Tamandua tetradactyla: one gene and its partners. The protein of the gene in region 1 purifies or fractionates together with the protein of each later gene. This does not show direct contact. Links are inferred from orthologs where the notes say so. Each region holds a gene or a part of one and is shown on either strand. Other genes may lie near its edges.

Evidence for each region. Proteins that work in one complex are often made in the same cells at the same time.
Region 2: the proteins of E2F6 (region 1) and YAF2 purify together in Homo sapiens (affinity purification with mass spectrometry; 4 studies listed by BioGRID and IntAct, counting the BioPlex papers as one, with this or other methods). This does not show direct contact. The link is inferred for Tamandua tetradactyla from reciprocal best matches to the Homo sapiens genes E2F6 and YAF2.
Region 3: the proteins of E2F6 (region 1) and L3MBTL2 purify together in Homo sapiens (affinity purification with mass spectrometry; 5 studies listed by BioGRID and IntAct, counting the BioPlex papers as one, with this or other methods). This does not show direct contact. The link is inferred for Tamandua tetradactyla from reciprocal best matches to the Homo sapiens genes E2F6 and L3MBTL2.

The regions. Positions count from the first base shown.
Region 1 is NC_135329.1:65,714,237-65,721,850, forward strand, and holds the start of E2F6 (transcription factor E2F6), read right to left. Parts: upstream 3,010-7,614; 5' UTR 2,786-3,009; coding exon 2,657-2,785; intron 1,664-2,656; exon of another isoform or gene 1,610-1,663; intron 1-1,609. UniProt on the Homo sapiens protein: Inhibitor of E2F-dependent transcription. Binds DNA cooperatively with DP proteins through the E2 recognition site, 5'-TTTC[CG]CGC-3'. Has a preference for the 5'-TTTCCCGC-3' E2F recognition site.
Region 2 is NC_135333.1:101,735,034-101,742,830, forward strand, and holds the start of YAF2 (YY1-associated factor 2), read right to left. Parts: upstream 3,002-7,797; 5' UTR 2,823-3,001; coding exon 2,797-2,822; intron 2,366-2,796; coding exon 2,240-2,365; intron 491-2,239; exon of another isoform or gene 109-490; intron 1-108. UniProt on the Homo sapiens protein: Binds to MYC and inhibits MYC-mediated transactivation. Also binds to MYCN and enhances MYCN-dependent transcriptional activation. Increases calpain 2-mediated proteolysis of YY1 in vitro.
Region 3 is NC_135333.1:34,374,901-34,382,683, reverse strand, and holds the start of L3MBTL2 (lethal(3)malignant brain tumor-like protein 2), read right to left. Parts: upstream 3,002-7,783; 5' UTR 1,944-3,001; coding exon 1,908-1,943; intron 1-1,907. UniProt on the Homo sapiens protein: Putative Polycomb group (PcG) protein. PcG proteins maintain the transcriptionally repressive state of genes, probably via a modification of chromatin, rendering it heritably changed in its expressibility.

The sequences.
Region 1 (7,614 bases):
TCTCCCTGCCAATGTGAGACAGGACTCCCAGGGATGAGCTGGGACCCAGCACCATGGAACTGAAAAAGCCTTCTTGACCAAAAGGGGGATGAGAGAAATGAGACAAAATAAAATTTCAGTGGTTGAGAGATTTGAAACAGAATCAATAGATATCCTGGGGTTATTCTTATGCATTATATAAATAGTCCTTTTTGGTTTCTGATGTACTGGAGTGGCTAGAGGGAAGTATCTGAAACTACTGAACTGTATTCCAGTAGTCTTAAGTCTTGAAGGCGATTATATAACTATATACCTTTTATAATGTGACCGCGTCACTGTGAAAACCTAGTGGCTGATGCTCCCTTTGTCCTGGATATCGACAGATAACTGTAAAAAAGGACAAAAAGAAATAAATAATGGGGGAGGGGGATAAGGGGTAAAAAACTGGGTAGAGTGTAATACTAGTGAACAATGAAAGGGAACGATAATGGGTATGGGATGTTTGGGTTTGTTTTTTTTTTTTTCCTGGAGTAATGCAAATGTTCTAAAAGTGATCATGGTGGTGAACACACAAGTATGTGATGATACTGTATACAACACTGGTTGTATACTTTGGATGGACTGTATGTGCATGAAGATACCTCAATAAAAATATTTAAATAAAAAAAAAAAAGAAACTTCCAACAGTAGCCTGGCTGGTTTTCAGATTATGGACCATTTACTTGTTACCCCATTTCCTCCTTTATGAAAGGAAGGTCTATGGCAGTTATCCTATGTCTATCTTGCCACTGTTTGCCATATTTTGAGTCAGACGACTTATTTTTTCAGGTTCACAGATTTAATATCCAGAGAACCATACCTGAGGAACTATACGTTAGAAACTATACTCAAGGAGCCTAAATCCACAGCTGGACCCGATCGCAACTCTGAACTTTCGACGAATGTTCCAACGGAATAAAACTTTTGGAGGGGGAGTAGATCTTCCATGAGGAAGGTTGTGAATCATTATAGGGGGCCAGAGGGTGGAATGTACGGGGAGCCTTTAAGATGATTCCGTACCCCTGCTTCCTGGTACTCTCGATCTGTGCCATCACCTTGACTGGAGCGTGGACTGAATTTCAGTGACTCCCTTCTAAAGAACAGAACACAGCAAGTGACAGAGTCACTTCAAGATTAAGTTACAAAGAGACTAGTGCTCATCTTGTTCGCCTTCTCTTGCTCTCTGGCTAGATCTCCGGGAAGCCAGCTGCCATGTGTGAACTGTCCTATGAAAAGGCGTGCATGGCAAGAACTAAGGGAGGGCTCAGTTAAGAGCCAGCAAGAAATTAAGGCCTTTAGTCCAACAACCTTTAAGGGACTGAGTTCTGCTGATAATTACAGGGATAAGCTTGGAAGTGGATCTTTCTCCAGTCACGCCTCCAGACTTGAATAACACCAACATTTAAAGGAATGGGAAGAGAAGTTTGCAAAGGAGCACAAGGAGAGGTTAGATAAGAAGATGGATCACCAAAAGTATGTAATGTCAGAAGTTAAGTGGAGAGAGCTTTAAATAACAGCGAAGGAGAGGAATTTTTACTAGAATTAATAAGACTGTCTATGACGTCAGAACAGTTTTTGTGGTGTTGTTAGGGCAAAACTTCCACAGGAGTAGGTTGACATGGTGAGAACTGAGGAAGTGAGTACAGTAAGTGCAAACAACTTTTTTTTTTCAAGAAAGGGAAGAGATACAGTAAATGAAGGGATTATGGAATTAAGGAAAGTATATTTTCAGACAGACATCTGTTTAAGATCACTGAAGGGATGCAGTTAAATAGTCAAGAATTTATCATCTATAGTCTGATATTTTGAGATTAAATCCAGGCTTCTCCACTTACTAGTTATGGATAAGTCATTTAACATCCCCACGTCTATTTTGGCAACTGTAAAACAAGAACAACAGTATCTATCTCTTAGGACTGCTGTGAGGAATTAAATCAAATAACGTTCATAAGCTATCTGGCATGAAAACTGGATATAACTGTTCAGTAAATGTTTAGCTATTACTATGGGAAGAAGCTAGCAGAGAAGTTGAAACCACAGGAAGAAATGGGAAATGATGGCTTCATCAAGGGCTCTGTAAGCCACAGAGAAAACAGCATCTAGCCGAGAACACTTATAGAGAAAATTAGCCTTCTGCAGGAAGTGAGCCAAATTTCCCACCCATTTTTTTTTCTGGAAAACAGAATGGAAGATAATTTGCTAAACAGGGAGATGTGAGAAGACCTGAAGCACGCACGTGTTTTTATTAAATTGACGGCATTTAAGCGGAAGAATGGGAGAGAAGCTTAGAAGAAAAACGATAGCTTGCAGAGATACACCGAGAGTCTAGCTGAGATGGAACAACTCGCATTCATAATGCAAAACTGAGCAATTTTCTCCGACACTACTCCGCGGCCTCGAGTTGAGCGCCAGGAAAGCGAACACATTTGCACAGCAAGTTGCAATAACCGGGCGACGGAGTAAAGCGAATGACCTGACTGGTTCACCGTCCGTGACCCCTAGGAGCCACGGCACCCGCGCAGCAGAGCTGCGGCCGGACGGCGCGCGGCGCGGGCTCCCCGCGGAGGGGACTGCGCCCAGAGACCCTCCCCGGCGGCACGATCGCGGGTCGCCCGGGACAGAGTTCCCCGGGGCTTACCAGCAGGCTCTCCACGCTCATGGGGTCTCGGCACCGGCGACGGACGGCCTCCTCCGCCGGGTCCACGAGGACGCTGGGCAGTTTCCTCGCGGGGCGCTGCTGACTCATGCTGTCGAGCCCGGCGGCCATTCGCCCCTCGCACCCGGAGAGCTCTCCCGCCTTCTCCCGCTGGGCTCGAGCACCGCCCCCAACGCGCGGGTTTCCGGGGCCGGGCCCGCACCGGAGCCCGGGACCACTCGGGGGCGGCGTCCAGCAGGCTGCTCGGCGAGCCAACGCGCCACGAGCCCCACGCGCCCAAAGTCACAGCCGCAGCGGGAGGACAGCGCTGCCCACGGGTCGTCGGGCCGCCGGAGCCGCCGTCCTCCGCATGCGCAGTGCGCCGCGCTCTCTGCGCATGCGCATACCTGCTGGGCCCGGGCGCTCCCAGACGCGGACTTCTCCCGGCGACCAGTGCCCGAGAAAACCCGGGCAGCGGAGGTTGCGGAGGGGATGGTGCCGAGAAAGGAAAAGGTGGAGCCGACGCTGAGGGATGGAATGGGGGTGGCCTTGCAATTCATGACCCTGACCGTGGGGAGGTGTGGACGCGCAGCGTTGCTCGTTTATTCTTGTAGCTTCTTCGGCACATCCCAGGCTCTGGAAAGCACACCATGCGGAATTGCTCACCTGGGCGCTCCTTTCTCCCCTCCCGTCCATCACGAATACATTAATGGTCAGCTGCTGTGTCCGGTGCTGTGCTGGGCCCAGGTGACAAACTTCTCAGTTTGACCCAGGCTCCATCTCTAGGTCCTGAGAGAAAGATAAATAAACAGAACATTTTAAGCCAGAGCCAGAAGATGTGTTTTCAAACCCTGGCCCACTTATTATAAATGAGAAGACTTTAGGGAAGTCACTTTTCCTCCCTGTGCTTGGCTTTCCTCGCCTGTAAAGCAGGGGTAATGACTGTCTTCACTTCTTGTGAGGCTGCTGTGAGAATAAATGGACGCAGGAATATAGATGCCCGGAGCAGCGACCAGCACACGGCTGAAACGAAGCCCGGCTGGAGGGAGCACAGCGGCTGCGAAATACAGCACGTGCCAAATGGGTGATTTGAAACGAAGTGCCTCGGCAACCCTAGGGAAGGTCTCTAGAAGACTGGATCATCTTGCAAGGTGGAGATGCCTTTACCAACCAGTCCCTGAGAAGGCAAGATCTGAAGACCTAGAGGGTGAGAAATGGGGTAGAACCCTGGAGCCGAGGGTGCGGGGAGTTTCTCTGACAGCAGCCATTCAAGGCGTAGCCATCTCCATCATTTACTTAATACAGGTCTTTAAGTTAACTCACTTTAAAAATTAACATCTATTTATCTTTAAATAACACTTGGTATAACTTGCCTGCCATCTCTGGAGGTGTGTGGGTGGGTCAACCTCCTGACCAGCTGGGAGGCAATGAGAGTCCTGAAGTTCACCCAGCCCGGCTCGGACACCACCTCAGGATAGAAGGCACGCGTTAACACACATGGTCAAATTCTAACTATGAAAATACACAGTGTCCATTTGAATGCCTCCTGAAGACCTGGAACATACTGCCATCACAAAGGGAGAAACGTGATGCTAATCCAAATCTCTTTCTTTTGCTGAGGAAGAAACTGAATCTAGATACCATAATTTCATGATGGGCCCCAATCTACATTCCAACACATCTCAGACTGAGACACTTTCCCCTCTTCCCCAGGCCTACCCATATATGAACATGCTAATCTACCAAAAGTGCCCCAATTTCCAGCATTTACACATGGCTTCTATCTCAGTGCCTTCAGAGATGCCATTTTCTCTGCAATAAAATCTTTCCTTCCTTCCCTGCCTGTGTAAATCCCCTCTCCTTCAAGACCATGTTCAATGACCACCTATTTTGTGAAAACATGTCTAATTCTTCTCTTGACATATAATGCACCTTTTTAGGTTTCCCTAATGACATATTTTTTACCTTTTTGTGGCACCTGCCAGATTTCCTAGTGTCGGTCTTGCATTTACCCTTCTCATTGGATTATAGCTTCTTGAACTCAAGAATTGTGCATTATTTATCATTATATCCCAACTCCTAGCACAGTCTCTGGCAGGTAGTAAGTATCTATTAAGTATGTATGGGAGGAAAAACAGTTTTAAGTTGCTCTCCCCTATTTCCCAGTGCCCGACTTTGAGACCTTGATGCAAAATTCTAGTGTGTTTTCAAAAAGTAGCCCAGCCCAGCTCAACAGTGTACTTGACTTTAAGAAGTGAGTTCCTGAGTTAATCAAGCTTTCAGACACTGAGTTAAGTGTTAAGTAAAACCAGAAACCTGGACATCAGCAGTGATCTTTTTATTTATTTCATGCATTTTTATAATTGCTAATTGAAGCATTTTATGACAGGGTTTTAAAATCCTTGTTATGTAATTCTAACACCTGTGTCATCTCAGTATTGGTCTCTGTTGTTTGTCTTTTCTCCTTCTGGTTCTTGGTTTAGGAGTGATTCTCAATTGAAACCTGGACATTTTGGTTTTATGGGATGAGACTAGCTCTTACATACATCTGTGTTAGTTTAGTAGTCGTCTTCTGACGCTGCTCTGTGGGGAAGGAGGGGTGCCACCTTGCTATTACCAGGGCAGGGTGAACAGCAGGTTTTCTACTTGGCATTAGTTGCCATACAGTAATTGGGACCATGAGGGTGCTTCATCACTGCTCTCTAAGTGGCTTCCAGTGACACCACTGGCATGTGTAGGTGAGTGTTGGCTCAGCCTTGTTCTTGCTGGGTGCTGGAGAACGCCTTGACTTTCCACAGGTCCTCCTCTGACCTTCACTTGGAGGTGGGGGGAAAGGACTGCCTCATTCTCCCTGGGTGAGGGCACAAATCTAAGCTTCCCTTTTGATCTTGTCTGCCATGGGTGGGGCGGGCACCACAGATTTCTCTATGGGGTTTACCTAGCACAGAGTGACTACTTTCTAAAGTTTTATTTCCTGCTAGCTGTCCCTTTCCTGATATGTTGGTTAGAGAGGGCAAACTTTTGAGGAGGTTTTTTGGGTACTAATCGGTGTTTATAGTTAACAGCTTCTCCAGCACCCAGTTTGGGATACACAAGGCAAAAAGGAAACCTACTGAACTTACTGCTGTGTCATTCCTCAGGCAGTGAGTTCCCTAACCAGTCTTCTTTTCTCTATCTTCAGAGTCTTCCTATGTTTGTTTTATATACTATGTTCAGGTTTTTTAGCTCTATATAGCGGGAAGAATAGAAGCAGAAGTCTAGCGTGATATTTTTAAAACGTAAATTAGATCAAACACTCCCTTGCTTGAAACCTGGCTTCCAATCTATTGGTATTTGAGGGAATAAATACCAATAGATGGTTGTTAAACCATCAATGGCTTGAAATCAGCCACAGTGAGGCTATTTATACCGGGGAGGCATACCTCTGATAATCCTTCTTCCCTGCTTGTGAGACATAAAAGGAATAGGATAATTGGGACTCAGATAGATGTAGATCAAAATTTCACCTTTGCTTCTGATAAAGTGAGATGGGGTGTTCTAGTTTGCTGGCTGCCGGAATGCAATATACCAGGTACAGAATGATTTTTAAAAGGGGGAATTTAATAAGTTGCTTGTTTATAGTTTTAAGGCCCAGAAAATGTTCCAATTAAAGCAAGTCTACAGAAATGTCCACTCTAAGTCATCCATCCAGGGAAAGATACCTTGGTTCAAGAAGTCATCATCTGCTAGCTTCTCCTGGCTTCCTGTTTCATGAAGCTCCTCGGGAGACATTTTCCTTCTTCATCTCTAAGGATTGCTGGCTGGTGGACTCTGCTTCTTGTGGCTATGTTGTTCTGCTCTGCTCTGCTCTTTCTGAATCTCCTTCATTCTCCAAAATGTTTCCTCCTTTATAGGACTCCAGAAACTTATCAAGACTCACCCAAATGGGTGGAGACATGTTGTCACCCAATCCAGCTTAACAACCACTCTTGATCAAATCACATCTCCAGGGAGATGATCTGATTACAGTTTGAAACATACAGTGCTGAATAGGGATTAGAAGAAATGGCTGCCTTTACAAAATGGGATTAGGATTAAAACATGTCTTTTCTAGGGTCCATACATCATTTCAAACCAGCACATGGGGGTATATGGCTTAGGCATGTAAACAAATGGGTTTACTGAGAGTTTCTTCTCCTCTGTTACCCATCAGGGCCATGGGACAGTCCACTTCTGGAAAATTATGGCCTGTGGAGCAGATATCCCTGTCCATAGTTGTCTTCCTCACTGGATCCAAAGCAGAGAGAGAAGAAACCAACACCCCTAAGGAAATTTATCCAGCCGAGAAAGGTGGCCTAAGGTCTGCCTCCCCTCCAGGCAGAAGGACAAGGGGTGGGCTCGGAGCCCAGGGCTGTTACACTAGTGCAGTAACTAGCCTGTTACTTCAGTGCAAACTCCTCCATGTGGAAGCGCGAATCCAGAAGAAAAGAGGGTCTCTCATCACCCACAGGGTTGATTTTTAAAAATCATGGCAACATGAATATAACTTAAAATTTCCCATTTTGGAAAGTGACATCACCAAGATGGTGGAGGGAGAACCTCTAGGGTACCATTTCCCCACAGAAGTTTTAAATAACAAGCAAACCCTGGCAGAACCATCCTTCTCAGAGTTCAGGAAAACAGTCAAAGGGTTTCAGTAATGGAGTGAACACCCAGTCAAGGAAAAGGCAACTTAAAAACAGTAGGAAACCTGAAAAAGAGAAGCTAAGCCTACTGATAATTAGGCCTAAGAGTCACCCCAGGGAACATCTTTTGTGGCTCAGATGTGGCATCTCTCTCTAAGCCAACTGAGCAGGTGAACTCACTGCCCTCCCCTATGTAGGACATGACTCCCAGGAGTATAGATCTCTCTGGCAACGTGGAGTTCATTCACCAAAGGGGGAAGAGAGAAATGAGACAAAATAAATTCTCAGTGGCTGAGA
Region 2 (7,797 bases), on another chromosome or scaffold:
AGAAATTAGAGCTCATAGGTTTAACTTAGGGCCAAAATCAAAAGAGAAGAGACAATTCAAGAGAGGAAGGAAGAAGCTGAGAGGATCGCAGTGTAGAAGAACACTTACTTTTAGGAACAGAGTGTCCCTTAGACTTCTGGTGAGTTGCCCAGAGCCTCTTCAGTTTCAATCCAAATGACAATGCTTCTCTGAGTCCTCCTCAAGTAATGTTTCGACCACTAAAAATTGGATCTACAAGAGCTCAGAAGTACCGGTAAAAAAATGTCAGGGGCCCTCATGTGGGCCTCATGCCTCTTTTAAACTAGGCCCACTTCTCTGTCCTGGGCCAACTTCCCTGTGCACTATATTCCTTCTTCTTCCAGGTGCCAGGTATTCAGCCTGTTTCTTCTCTTCTGAGCTGCCACCACCTACTCTATTTCTCAGGGTTTCTCTAACCCCAAGACTGGCTGTGGAGTAGTAGGACACCAGCTTCCCCCCTTCCTTGCTGTCCCTGCAAATAAACATATAGGCTCTTCTAGTTTCAGTATTTTTCTAATGGCTAAAAGAAAATAGAGAGGGAACAACAAAAAGCAACAATATAGTACCAGAGATTAAGATTATAATAATTGTTTCCACTTTAAAATTCCTGCCTCCAAAAAAAATTTTTTTTCTAAGAATTGCTTATAAGCATTTAAAATAGTATAAAATGCTTTCATAGATATACAAATATAATCTAAGCTAACTCCAACCTATTTACCCATAGAGATACTCTACTTTTCAAAATACTTAAATCACGGGTCCAAAAGTGGTTACTATGTTCATTTTAGCAAATTGGTACTTTTCTATTTTTGAACTTTTCTGTTGTTTTAGTTCCTTAAATTTAGCAGTAGATATTTGAAAGTGTCCTTTATAAAGGATATCGTGAAAATGTTAAATATACTGTATCCACTGTAAAAGGAATATGCAAAAAGCATTTCATGATTTACAAAAAAGGCACATAAAAAAAGTTAACTTCACTGAGAAAAACCTTAAAAATCTAAACTTTTGTTTAAACATGTTTAAAATTTAAACATTTATCTCCACGTTAGAATTTTTTAATAAAATGCTATAAACGGTGTTTAAAAATCAGGGTATCAGGCAGGCCAAGGGTGGCTCAGCAGGCAGATTTCTTGCCTGCCATATCAGACACACAGGTTCGATTCCTGGTGCCTGCCCACGTGCAGAAAAAAAAAAAAAATCTGGATATCTCATTTTTAGAATCTAATCCTGATTGAATATTTAAATCCAATGTCAACATTATTTAGGCCCTCTTTTTTGCAGCATTAGTATATTTATTACTGTGATAATTTAATCACTAACAGACTGAAATCAAAATACAAATATTATCTAAATATTAAGCCATAAATCAGAGGACTGAATTAAACTGAATTAATTGAAAGGCAACCTTTCTGTAAAAGCAAAGGAACTTTGTAAGTAAGAGCTGGTGACAAGAATGTCATTAACTGACTACCCCGGATGATTTTCTTTATCCACTTAATTCACTTATGTAGCTTTTTAAAAGACAGAATTATTACATTGTAAGCCTACAAAACAGCGTTAAAACTGAAAACAGGCAGAGAACATTTCATCTCATTTTAACGTCTAATTGATTGCCATTTAATCGAAGTAAAGATATTCAGATAATTTCAGTAAAAATGCGTTTCTATTGATTGGCTCAGCTCCAACTACTTATCTATAAAATATTAGAGAAGTGGAATAAAAACACCAAACAAACCTTGATCTGACCCTTCCAGGCACTCATTTATAAAAAAAGAAATCTGATCTACTGTGCATTCTACAATCAGACACTTTTTTTTTCTTAAGGAACGAAATTAAATTACACCCTTTGCTCCTAAATTGGATTTCATGGTTTTTCCTTGATCCCCACACACTAACACAACAATGCGGCCAACATTATTATATCCGGGGGAAGGGAGGAGGGCATTACACTCTGCGATACGAATTAAATCGCAGTAGCTAATGTCTCGCTTAAATAATTTATTCTCTCTTGGCAATAAAAAACGTTGCAGCCTCTTCAATTACCCCACACCGCAAACCATCACTTGGGTCGCGATCAATCTGACCCAATTCCTATCGCGGCCACCACCTCAGTCTCGCCTCCTCTTGCCCGGTCTGCGAATGTCACGGGAAGGGGCGGCAGCCGCAGGGTCGTCCTCTGCGCCGCGATCAGTCAGCCGGCCGCGCGCGGGGCAGGACTCACCGGGTGGAGGTGCCCTTCCGCACATCGCACATCATGCACTTGAAGGCCTCGGCACTGTTCCGGAAGGTGCAGACGCTACAGTCCCAGTAACCCTCATCCGAGGACGGCTTCGGCTGCCGCTTCGGCCTGCAGGACACAACCCGGACACGACGCGGCGCAGGGTCACCAACAGGCCGCGCCCGCCGCCCCCGCTCCGCGGCCGCCCCCGCCCCGCCCCCCGGCCCCAATTCTGCGACCCCCCCAGCCCGCCCGCCAGCGGCGCGCAGCGCTTCGGCTCCGAGAGGGAAGAGGAGTGGGAGTCAAGAGCCGGGAAGGCGCGAGCGCCGCTGCAGCCGCCGCCGCTGACACAGGGGGTTGCCTCTCCGGCCGCCGCCGCCATCGCGGCTCCATTGTGGGGCGGCCGGCGCCAGCCCCTCACGCGCCAGCGCTCGTGGAGCAGCGGCGCCGCCCCCGTTCTCGTCCGGGTGCCCGGGCGGCGAACGAGGGGGCCCGCCCCAGCCCGGCACGAGGGCGCTGCCGCCGGCACAATCCGGGCCCCGGGGCCTTGGCGCTCTTACCTGGTGGGGCTCTTCTTGTCTCCCATGGCTTGGCTATCAGTGCACGCCGAGAGTCGCCGCCGCGGCAGCTCTGTTTATCAATAAGAAAGATAATAAGCCGGGCGGAAGCGGGCGGGGAAGGGAGGAGGGAGGGGGCGGGGAAGGCCGCACCGCCGAGCTGGGAAGCTGCCGCCGGATCCCACGCAGCCTCCAGCTGTCGGGGAAACTCCTGCCTGGGAGCACGTGACCCGCGCGCGCCAACCAGAGGCCGCGCCGGAGACTTCAAACGCTGCCAGCGCGGCCCAGCACCCGCGGCGAGTTCGCTGGCTGCGGGCGTTGCGGGGGCGGCCGCCGCAGCTTTAGGCGGCGTCGCAGCTTCTCGGTCCTGTTCCAGGCGCTTCCCTTCGGCATCCCGGCTGGCTGTGGATGTCGCGTGATGTAGATCCCCTCTGACCCTTTGAAGCGTCTGTCCAGCCGGCCAGAGGAGATGTTCCGTCATCCCGCTCAAAGCCTGGTCAAAGGTGGGGCTAGCCTTCTCGAGGTCAGCCCGGCTCGGGACCACGAGTGCCCTGCCGGGCGGCCCTTAGCCACTCAACACCCCTCCCCAAAGGATACCTGAAGGCAGGCAGGAACCAACAGTGAGCGCCATTGCTAGGTGTCTTAAAAACAGTCTGGTTTAATCTACGCAAATGCTCGTAAGGATTGTTGCTCTTAGTTTAAAGGAAGAAACCGAGGTTCAGGAGAGGTTTGGTGACGTCCTCTAGGTTACATAATTAGAAAATGGCAAAAACAGGACTCTAACCTGTTTTGATTCCAAACGCGCTTCTTTGGCCGTAGAGACCTCTGCAGGAGATGCTCTTAAAAGAAAACGAATACTTATAAGCCATGTTTTAAGATAATAATATGCCTGGAACGTTGTTGCCTAAGAAGGGAACGATGTTGCCTGTTCACGTATTCTCCCAGAGTCTCATTACCTCAAATACTGAAGGACCTTTTCACCTTGTGAAAACAAGATAGATTCGAGCAACAGCTGTTTAACTAGCGGTCTCTAAAGCTCTAGCCCTGCCATCCCATGTATTCAGTAAATCACAACCAGATTAATTATAAAAGGCTGTTAACAAGGCGGCCCACGGTGGCTCAGCAGCAGGGTTCTCGCCTGCCATGCCGGAGACCTGGTTAGATTCCTGGTGCCTGCCCATGAAAAAAAAAAAAAAAAAAAGGCTATTAAAATTGTGCCACAGCTCTGCTCAAAAACCTAACAGGTTCCAAACTCTGCCAGGCCTTTCTCAAATTTCCCTTAACTCCCCATCTTTCTTCAGAGAAGTTGCCTTCTAGCAAACACTGATAGGTTATATTCAATATTTCCCTTCCCAAAACTCTCCCTTCGTGCACATTTTACGTCTACACTGAATATTTCCTTCTTTCCTCTGTGCCTGTGCTATTTCTGCCCATTTTTCTAGGTTCACTTCAATAGGATAATATTATATAAAATGATTATAAATATATGAAATAATATTATAGTTAGTAGGGTCTTAATATAGAAGAAACACGCTGGCGTGCCCTCTCACACATACACAGAACAGTACAGAGTCCTGGGTTCTCGGCTTGGTTCACTGTTCCTTAACCAATGAGCCTTGGAAAACTTGATTAATTTCTGTAATTCTCAACTGCATCTGCAAAATGACAGCTATATTTATGAGGTTATTGTGGGATTAAAAATTATTTAAAAAAAAACAAAACAATTTTGAGCACCACGTTGCCAGGCACTTTGCAAATCTTTTTACATAGATGCATACTTTAAAGAGCTCAAAGTGCTATGAAATGTTAGTTCTCACCATCTAGTTGCATACCTTCGTTTTAAAGACAAGGAGTTTAGGGCCTGGGTTAAATGGCTTCTCTTTAATGAATTTTTCAAGTTTAGCACTCAGATATCCTATTAGTCTCCCACTAAGCTATGCTTTCTGATTAACCATATCAGTCCAATTTACAGCGGTCTCTGAACTTGTAGCACCATTTTTTCTTTTTGCAAGTGTTGCTTCTCTCAACTCAGACTGTTTCACCCTAGAAGGCGAGACTATGATTGAGGAAAGCATGGATCTAAGGCCTAGTTTTCTCAGCCTTATAGTTATATAAGAGATAGTTACATCTCTCAGTAATACAGCAGTAAACACAGTTAGGTTTCAGTTTTATTTCCATCTGTAAAATGAAGTTAAAACAATTATAACAATTCAGGTCCCTTCCAATCCTAAGGCATTATGTTTTAAATTCTTCAACTGGATGGATCATCAAAAAGATTGACTAGAATCGGTCTGCTTGTAAAAGGGATGCAAAATGTATTTTTGAATAAATAGAAAACTAAATCAGGCACTCTAAAAACGCTCCATGCTGTAAATCACCATTTTGCTAGAATATAAACTCCATCACTAGAAATTAAACTTCACCTCTAAATCGTAAGCTCAGAAAGGGCAGGCACTTTTATTTGTTGTCTTCGTCACTGCATCCCTAGTTCTAGAAGTCTGGCAGGTAATAAGCACTCAATAACTAGTCTGAGAATGAATAAATTCACCTGTGTCACAGTTCTTGAATAAAGTGTTTTTTCATACTGGTTTCACAGCCTTTTAAGCATATTAGCATGCAGTAGATGCTCAGTAAATGCTGGTGTTTATAACAAGTCTGCAAACTGAAATTTACAATTTTGCAAGACAGTTCTTATGGAAGAACGAGGAATTAGACCCAGTTTCTGTGGAGTGCAAAAGCAAATGCCTTGCAATCTACTAGCTGCCTACCATTTACTGGGTACATCTCTTTTAAAAATTCCTTCCTATTTTAAGCTTACATGGAGACACCAGTACAAGGAGCACCTCCTCCTACTTCACCACAAAAGTCACACCATTTTTCCTGAAATGTTTTCCCTACTATCTGGAAGAATGACCCAGGTTTAGATGACTCTTTGATACAATAACAAAGTTCCATCCTTTAGAAATGCAGTTCACTGGCATCACTTGTAAAGTGACATGAGTACTTTAACAATACTTTTAACAGTTTGGCAATAAAGTTCTGATATTTTCTAATGAAATTCTTTAACAATTTTAAAGAAATTAAAAGGTCATCGCTATAATAATATTCATTTCCATTCTAATACGATTCCTAGAATTGGAGAGACTGGAGAAGTTTCTGAAACTGCATGGCTTCACATGCACAGGTACACAGTAATATATTGTCTGTGGAGGTGTCAAAAAAGATCGAGAACTTCTGTCTTAGTTCAAGAGATTGACGGTAGGATCCCTGAGAACCCAGGCTCTTCTGCTTAGCCCTGAGTTTATGTCTATGAGGCAAACACAACAATTAAAAAAATATACAAAAAACTAAGCTTTAAAGATGAGTATAGTTATTAGACAACAGAGGTTGCCTGAAATGAGGAGTGCCATCTTTGTTTGTTTATCAACTGGAATTTGAGAGAAAAGAGCGTGACTTGTGACTAAGGGAGAAGCTGAACCACAAACCTTCCCTGAGAATAGAATGCAAAATGAAGAAAGTCAGTAATAAGCCACAATTGTAAAACCAATCACATTTTAAAAGGTTGTTTGGTTTTTGTTTGTTCAATCAGTTGTTTGTTTGGTTTTTGCAAAATGAAAATACCTTTACTGATTTTGCTGGTTATAAAAGTTATATGTTGCCAGCATAAAAACTTCACTGAAGACTCTTGTGTGTGTGTGTGTGTGTGTGTGTGTGTGTGTGTGTGTGTGTGTGTGCATGTGCACATAAGGTTGACTGGCTTATTTTTTTTAATAGATTTATCTTTTAGAGCAATTTTAAGTTTACAGAAAAATTGCAGAATACAGAGAGTTCCAATATACTCTCTCTCCTCCACGCACGCAGTTTCTCCTGTTATTAACATATTGCATTAGTTAGACATTTGTTATAACTTACAAACCAGCATTGATACATTATTAACGAGAGACCATAGTTCCCTCTTTGTTCTACATTTTTATTGGTTCAAGCACATAATGTCATGTATCCACAATTACAGTATCAAACAGAATAGTTTTACTGCTCCAAAAATACCTCTTACTCCACCTTTTTATCCCACCCCACCCCCCACTCACCCCAGCCCCAAGCAACCACTGATCTTCGTTTGCTATCTGCCAGAATGCAATATACCAGAAACAGAATGACTTTTTAAAAGGGGAATTAATTAAATTGCTAGTTTACAGTTCTAAGGCCAAGAAAATGTCCCAATTAAAACAAATCTATAGAAATGTCTTATCAGGCATCCAGGGAAAGATACCTTCGCTAAAGAAGGCGATGATGTTCAACATTTCTCTCAGCTGGAAGGGCACACGGCAAACACAGATCATCTGCTAGCTCTCTCTCCTGGCTTCTGGTTTCATGAAGCTCCCTGGGAGGCATTTTCTTTCTTCATCTCCAAAGGTTGCTGGCACGTGGATTCTCTGCTTCATGGTCCTGCAGCATTCTTTGCTCTCTCCGAATCTCCTCCTTCTCCAAAATGTTTCCCTTTTCATAAGATTCTGGTAAACTAATCAAGACCCACCCAAATGGGTGGAGACATGTCGTCACCTAATCCAGTTCAACAACCAGTCTTGATTAAATCACATCTCCAGGGAGATGATCTAATTACAGTTTCAAACATACAATACTGAATAGGGATTAGAAGAAACGGCTGCCTTTACAAAACGGGATTAGGTTTAAAACATGGCTTTTCTAGGGTACATACATCCTTTCAAACCAGCACATATAGTTTTATCTTTTTGAGACTATCATAAGGTGTAATCATATAGTATGTAGCCTTCACAGACTTTCTTTTACTTAGCAATATTCATTTTTTTCATGACTTGATAGCCCTTTTTTAAAAAGTCACTGAATAATACTCCATTTTATCAATGTACTAAAGTTTTTTTATTCATTCACCTACTGAAAAACATTTTATTGCTTTCAAATTTTGGAAAGTATGAGTAAAGATGCTATAAACATTCATGTGCAGATGCTTGTGTGGACGTAAAG
Region 3 (7,783 bases), on another chromosome or scaffold:
AAGGTTGTAAGCAGGGGAGTTCATTGATTTGATGTATGTTTTAGTGTGGAGAATGGATTGGAGGAGGATCAAAAGAAGTAGCCGGACCTGTTAGAAGCTCTCGTGCATTCCAGGTGAAGGATGGTGGTAGCTTGGTCTAGGGCAGAGACAGAGAGGGCATGCAGAAAAGCAGAAGAATGTTAAAAAATATTTTGGAGGTACCCCGCTGCCCTCCAAAGGGTGCCGGTTGTCAACCTGCACCCCTGCCAGGTGCAGCAAGAGCCGATCAGCCCTGAGGTGGCCTCCACGCAGGACTAAAGGCTCTCAGCAATCCTCATCTTCCTGGCATCTCTGCAGTGCCTGGCGGCAGCCACAAAATAAAATACATGTCGTGAAAGAGGGAGGTGGGCTGGTGTCCCAGCCCCTCCTTCCTGGACCCTGGGGCTCCTGCCCCGAAGTCTGGAGCCACTTGGAGGGAAGTGGGACCAGGTGGCTCTCCACGACTGTACACAGTAAACGCAGCCCCTCCCAGGGGCTGAGAACAGGGCATGCAGTAGGAGACGCCTCCACCCCACTTCTTGAATTTGGAAGAATGAGCCCTTCCAGAGTGATGCTGGCGACGGGGCTGGGCACTGGCTCAGCCCCGTGGGTGTGTTTTGTTCCTTATTATTTTTAAACCCTTAGAGAGCAATATCAGGAGCGCTGTTAATACGTCTGCCACCAGCAGGAAGATCAAGTTTCTTTAGAAAACCTTGTACTAAGTCTGCCCCTCTGGAAAATTCACAGCGGATGTTAGCAGGGCAGGCCTTGTGGCAGGGAATCCGGCTCCACTTGGTTTAGTGCTTCCAGACTTTATTTAGAGCTATGTGGTGTGGATGTCTGTGCATGTTGCCCCTCCCCTCCCCCACCCCATACCAGTTAACTGAAGACAGCCAGTGTAGAGAATGTTCTGGAAATGATTAAAATAATAATAATATATCATTCCCGGGAACAGGGGGAGCTCCTTTTTGACTGGATTGTTTCCTACCCATCCTCCTACTCCCCCTCCCTGCCCACCCCAGCCCGCCATGCTGAATGCTCCCAGGCCTCTTTGCTGGCTGGACCCCTCCCCAAATCTGGGACAAGGGTAGAGTTGCCAGATTTCACAACACAACAAGGCAAAAAGAAAACAAAACAGGGTGCTGAATTGTTTGGAATGTCAGGTAATAATTTTTTAGTATAAGTATGTGCCAGATATTTGCATAGGACATGCTTATACTAGAAAATTATTGTCTAATCTGAAGTTCAAATTTAACTCAGCATCCTGTAGCCTTACCTGAGGGAATCGAGTAGAAGCTTGGGTGGGAGCACCAGGGTTGCCTGACAGTTTCTGACAGGCTGAGCCCCTTCCTCCTGTCTCCATGTAGCTGATGGGGTGGGTGGTGGGTGGTGGCAGACAGAACTTAGTAAAACAAGGAGGATTCCCGCTGGCTGGTGAGGTAGCTGCTCTAACCTCCCAGTTTTTGCCAGATCCCGACTCTAAGAGACACTTAGTTCCCGGTTCAGGTGCCCTCTTGGTGCTCCAATTTCCAGCAGCTCACTCCCAAGGTGGGGAGGAATTGGAAGGGGCTTGGCAACCCCACCCAGCTGCCCTTGAAACCCATCCAGACAGTGGTCAGTTCCAGATTCTTAACTGTATTTTTTTCATGATATTGTTAAAACAGAGAGAAAACATTTAAAAAGCCCTTTAGCAAAAAAAAAAAAAAATATATAGGAGGTAATAATTAAATGTATGTAGTGGGTTTGGAAGTGGGGGTGGGGCAGAATATGTGAGGATTGAGGCCTGGACAACCGGGTGGATGGCAGCACCATATTCTGTAACGGTGAAAACTGGACAGGGATGGATGACTTTGGGTAGTTGAATGGAATGAACTAAGAGTTCCACTTACTTTGAGATGCTTGTGAGACAGTGAAGAAGAGGACATGAAGGCAGTTGGAGTTAGGTGGAAAGCACAGAACTGGTGATCTAAATCCTGCAACTTCTGGCATCCTCTCTTAAGATGAAATTAGAGTCCCTAAATCCATCTTCTCTGTGATTTATTATTTTTCACATCTCAATGTACATATCACCAACAGTATAAGAAAATAGAAACCTGAACTTTCCAGTTTCACAGCATTTCAGCAGGAGTCGGAAACACCAGACTACGGGGGAGGGAAAAAGGGCAGAGAGGGAGCCCTGGTGACAGTAACAGCTAGCATGAATGGAAATGGCCGTTAATTAGGAATTCAGTTGAAACAGCCTATTAAACACAGGTTGCTAAGCAACACTGGCCACCCCGGAACAGTGTGGCTGTTCCTTCTGTGGCAGAGCTCCTGGGCCTGGGTCTCTTTCTGTAGCATAGGTAGCATTTTGGCTAGTCTGAGCCATCTTTCTATACATGGACCTCATGTGAGTCATTGTCCCTCTCTCTCTCTAGGATCATAAATCTCTTGCTCTCTACTGGATCATTTCCCAAAACGACACAAATGTGCTCTAGTCACCCATACTACACAAATACATCTCTTGGATTCACTGCCTTTGTCCCCTGCCATATGCCATTTCTCCACTCCACCACTGCCCAACCTTTTGAAGGTTTGTCTACACATGCAATTTCTATTTCTTCTCTTGGCTTTCCATCTGTCCCTACACTCCACCAAAATTGCTTTTGTCAAGTTCACTTACTGCCTCTCTGACCTGAAATTCAATGACCACTTCCCTCTTTTGCATTTCACACAACTACCTACTTTATCCTTTCCGAAACACTGGCTTTTCTTGAGTCCCTCTTGGCTTTCCTCCTGTCTCTCTCCTTTGCAGGCCCTCACTGTTCAAAGTCATCAGCAAATCCATTTAATTCTCCAAAATCTACCCCAAATATTTCCACTTTTTTCTATCTCCACTGCCACAACTTAAATCCAGTCCACATCTTCTCTCCTCTGGATAGCACGGAAGCCTCCTAGCTGCTCTCGCCTATTATCCGAGCCCATTAATTCTCTACACAAGTCTTTAAAAAAAAAAGATTGCACCTATGATTTGCAGATGGGTGCTCGCTTCCACATTATCCGCTTCTGTGTGGTCTTCCAACAATTATTACAGTCTTTGGGGAGTGGTGTGACCCAAGTTGAGGCCAGATATTTAGAAAGGGCCAGGGTAAGAGTTCTTCATTGAAATATTTACTGCACGGCCACTGCTGCTGGACGCTGTGGCTACAAAAGTGAACAGGAGGACCCCACGGTTCCAGCCTTCACGGAGCTTCCGTTCCCAAACCATCCTCAGAGAGAAAGACCAACGCTTCCAAGCCCCGACCGCGGGCTAGGCTGGGCACTAACCGCCTTGGCGCCCGGCCCGCCTCCCGTGCACCGGTGACTCGACACAGGAGTCAGGTCGCCTCATCTGCACAACGGGGCTGCCAACCGGCTCTCCGCCGCCCCGCGCGTCTGGGATGCCTCTCGCCCCTCCCCCACACCCGCCCAACTCCCGGCCTGGGCAAGGGGGCGGTGCCGGCGGTCACGTGGCCCGGCGGGCGCGCTCGGATTCCGAGCGCCAACCGCCGGCGGCCCCGCCCCGCCCCCGTGCCCGCCTTCGGCGCGAGGCTGCTCGGCGCCCTCAGCCTGGGAGGCTGCAGCCGGCTGCCCATGCGCTCCCGGCCGGACCGGGGAGGAATGAGGCGCGGGCTCGCCGGGACTGCTGGACAGCCGGGGTCCAGTTTGGGGCGGTCAGTGATGGCAGTATACGGGAGGCGCTGGGGGGCGTAGGGGCCGCCCCGAGATTCTGGAGAACCACTGGAGTGGGGGCTGTCAGGGTTAGGACTCCCGCCGTGGGGTTGCCCCCCAGAGAGGGGGGAGGGGCGGCGAGCCCCTCCTTTGTCTTAGTTATACTGAGGTAAGGGGGCTGTGCTTGGCCAGAGCAATTCGCACTGTGCCTGACACAGAGCGAGCCCTCGAAAACTGCTGGTCTTGATTGCAACCACAGTGCGGTGAGAAAAGAGAAGAGGGAGTGACAACGGGGGCTGACAGGAGGTAACTGCCATTATTAAGCACCTCAGCTGGCCAGGTGCGGGCACCTCCCCTTCCTTCCCCAGGTGGCTAGGCGAGGCACCCGGGACAAGCATCTGCCCTGGGAGTGTGTAATTAAGAGGCAGAGCTGGGGTACGAACTTGGGACCTTTCACTCCTGACCCACTGCCCTAGGCTAAGGAAAAGGAATGCTTGGACCACGCTTTGAAAATTGGGTAGGGTTTTGATGGGTGGAGACCACTGAGTGAGCTGTGCCCTAATTAGCTGTAAAACCTCGGGAAGATCTTTAGAGCCATGCTTGGCTCTGTAAAAATGGCTGGACCTAGGAAAACTGATAACTAATATGTAAGTAGTGCTTTGCAATTTTTAAAGCACTTTCAATCACGTCATATGTAATTCTCACAACTCGCCCAGTAAGCGTTTTTATTAGCCCCATTTTACAGATGAAGAAATTGTCTTAGAGAAGTTTAGATAAGGGAGTAATGACAGAGATTTCCTATTGATTAAGTCAAATGGGTTTCCCCATACCAAGTTACCATGGATGAGAATACAGTTCTCTCTCCCAAACTCTTAACATGTTGTGCTTTCATTATCTGAGCACGAACCTACTAAATTTAAGACATTACTGTTGTTGGAGTTTCTTGCCCCTTCCCAACCACCAACTACCATATCCCAGCGACCAAGGTGGTGGTGAACAGCAGTTTTAATTTATTTTATTGGGCTGGTTTGGGCTGCCCCAAGTATGAAGAGCACTTGAGGCAAAGTGAAAACTGGAAAGTAATTGGGTGGGTTTGACTGAATTCTGAAAAGTTCAACCAGGTTGAATAATTCTCTAGCCAATTATTTTGAGGGCATTTGGTGATAATTGATCATTTTCTGTCCTTCCTGTTGACAGGTGTACCTCCTAGCAAATTATTGGAAGGAACATGAGAAATGTAAGTAGGGATTTTGAAGTAGCAGTTAAGAGAACCAAAATTGTTTACTTATAGAATAATGGCAGTTAATTTGGTGATATCATTTACCTATCAAACGGCAGGTACTTATCAAATGCCCACTTTTGAGGAGTGTATTTGTTAATGTGTGCAGAGAGGTTCTCCACAGGTGACAGTTGCCATCAGCGCTGACAAAGGTGCTATTTTTTTGGTTAACCTTTCCCAGAGGTCTGTGATATGTGCCAGGTGCCCGGCTAAGTGTTTTCACTTATTCTGTAACCTCATTTATCCTCACAACTATCTTAAAAGCCCTGAGCCGTTCTTACACTTTTTAGAAGGTAGGAAACAAGTCTCTAAGCATGAAGTAAACCAGTTCTGAAGGGGCAGACAAAAACTTAGCTTTTCACAGTGTGATCCGGGTTCAGGGTCAACAAATATTTAATGAACTTCACCTTGTACCAGGCACGTTTGAATATTTTATTTAATCCTCACAACAAACCCCCCCTCCCAATGCCTTTTGCTCATTTGAGCTGATCACCTCGAAATCAGCTAACAGGCATTTTTTTTTTTTTAACTAGCACATTCCTCATATGGAGCAAGTAGAGCCTCCGTCCCTGAATATAATGTTGTGCTGTGAGAAAAACAGCAATTCCTTTAATAAAATCCTGACATCTCAAAAACAGCAGTACAAAACAAAAATGTGGACCTTAGGCAGCAGATTGAGTTTCAAGGGCATTTTCTTCTGATGATTACAATTAAATCTGAAAACACCACTGGTTTCCCATGACAGACGCCCACAACTCTGATTCACTAGACTAATCACTCATCTGAAACTTGGATCAATTAGGTGTAACTTTTAAAAAATCTGGGGGAAGTCCAGCAGGGTTAGTGGGAAACTGGTTTGTAGATTTGTTATAAAAGTCCTCAGATGCTTTTTTCACTTTTTTTTTTTTCATGGGCAGGCACTGACAATTGAACTCGGGTCTCTGGCATGGCAGGTGAGAACTCTGCCTGCTGAGCCAATGTGGCCCGCCCCCTCAGATGCTTTTATATCCTGAATCAGGAAATGGTGACAGAGGTAGCCTTCCCTCTTAACCCCCTCCAACCAATCTCCGCAACTCAAAGTGATATTTTTTTTAACGATGATTTTTTTGGGGGTGGTGGGGGTGGTGGTGTTTAAAACCATTTAGTGGAAAAGGCAAATTTATAGAGACAAAAAGCAGATGAGTGGTTGCCTGGAGCTGGAGGTGCAAACATTGAATGCAGATAGGCATGAGGGAACTTTTTCAGATGATGGAAATCTAAATCTGGATGTGGTGTTGCTTATACAACTCTAAATTTACTAAAAATCACAAATTGTGCACATAAATCAGATACATTTTATGCTATATAAATTCACTTCAATAAAACTGTTTAACAAACAAAACCCTTCTTGGCTCCCCATCGCTTACCCTTTAGATGCTCAGAGGCTGTCTACCCCTCTAGCCTCTCCTGATGTGCCCAGTGTGTAGCTTGAATTGGAGTGATTGGGAGCTGGCTGCAGGTGCTCTGATAAAGGCTCTGTCATCTCAGTGCCTTTGCACATGCTGTCCCTCTGCCTAGGCTCTCCTTCCTGTTGTCTGCTAGGGGACACTTACTCTCTTTCTTCAAGATTCAGCTGGAGCATCTGCTCTACCAGTAAGCTTTCCCTGACTTTTCCAAATAAAGCCAAGTGACAATGCTGTTATTTTTAATGTACATATCTGGTACCCTCACCAAACTGAGCCCTCTAATCCTGATTTTTTCCTCTAGACCTCAGCAGGTCTCATGCCTAGAATGTTTGTTGAATAACTACATGTGCTGTCAGTATCCCCTTTCCATAGTACTTTTTTATGGGGAGTGCCCCTTCCTTCCTCCCTCCTTACCTTCCATTTGTTCCAGAGTGCTGAGGATTACTGTGGATACAAAAAATGAAAAATGCAAGACACTAATCCTCAAGGAACTCCCTATCTAGCGCAGGAGATAAGTAGTGTCAAGAAGGTGATTGATTATATGTCCTCACCTTCCTCTCTCCTAACCATCATCTCTGACAGGGTACTTATTCTTATGTAGGTTGGGGATGGTAGTGAAACCTACCTGATAGATGTCCTGTAAGAGTTAGATGGGTTGTAACAGAAAGAAATGTGTGCTGGCACTGCAGTGCACCTGGGTGTTAGGGCAAAGGTTCAGGAGATGCCTGGAGAAGCCACCACCTGAGCTGAGTTGTGAAGAATGAGTAGAAATTAATTTAACCTTCTTCAGTTTACCCCGATGGATAAGTGATGATTTGAATACATTGCCAAAGATTGTCACCCTTGTTGTTGATTAGGAGAAATACAAGGGCAGACATGCTTAAATTAGCTGCGCACTCAGACACAAAGATGAAGGAATATTACTTGTTGGTGATACTAATTTCTGTGGTTTGCCCCAGCCTCAATTTCCTACGAAATACTGCGTAAAGAATGGTTGCAAACCAGAGGTTCTTGGGCTGAATTCAGATTGCCTGAGTATTTTTTTGGGCCTATGCAGAATTTATAAAGTTTTTTTTTTTTCACTATAAAAGTTGCTGTTTATTTTCAATTTTTTTTGCTTGTCTCCTCTTAGCCCTTTAGGAGTCCACAGATGCACACCAGCCTGCAAACCCCACTCTGAGCACCACTGTGTTAGACCCTGTCCCATCCTGCTTATCCAGGGACATGGCTAGAGCTATTGCACAGCGCCACCCCACCAACCCTGCATCAGAATTTATCCCTCTATTAGATGATACCCATCAGCACACAAACCTATTATAACATCTCCCTGCTTGAAAAGGAGAGGAAATGT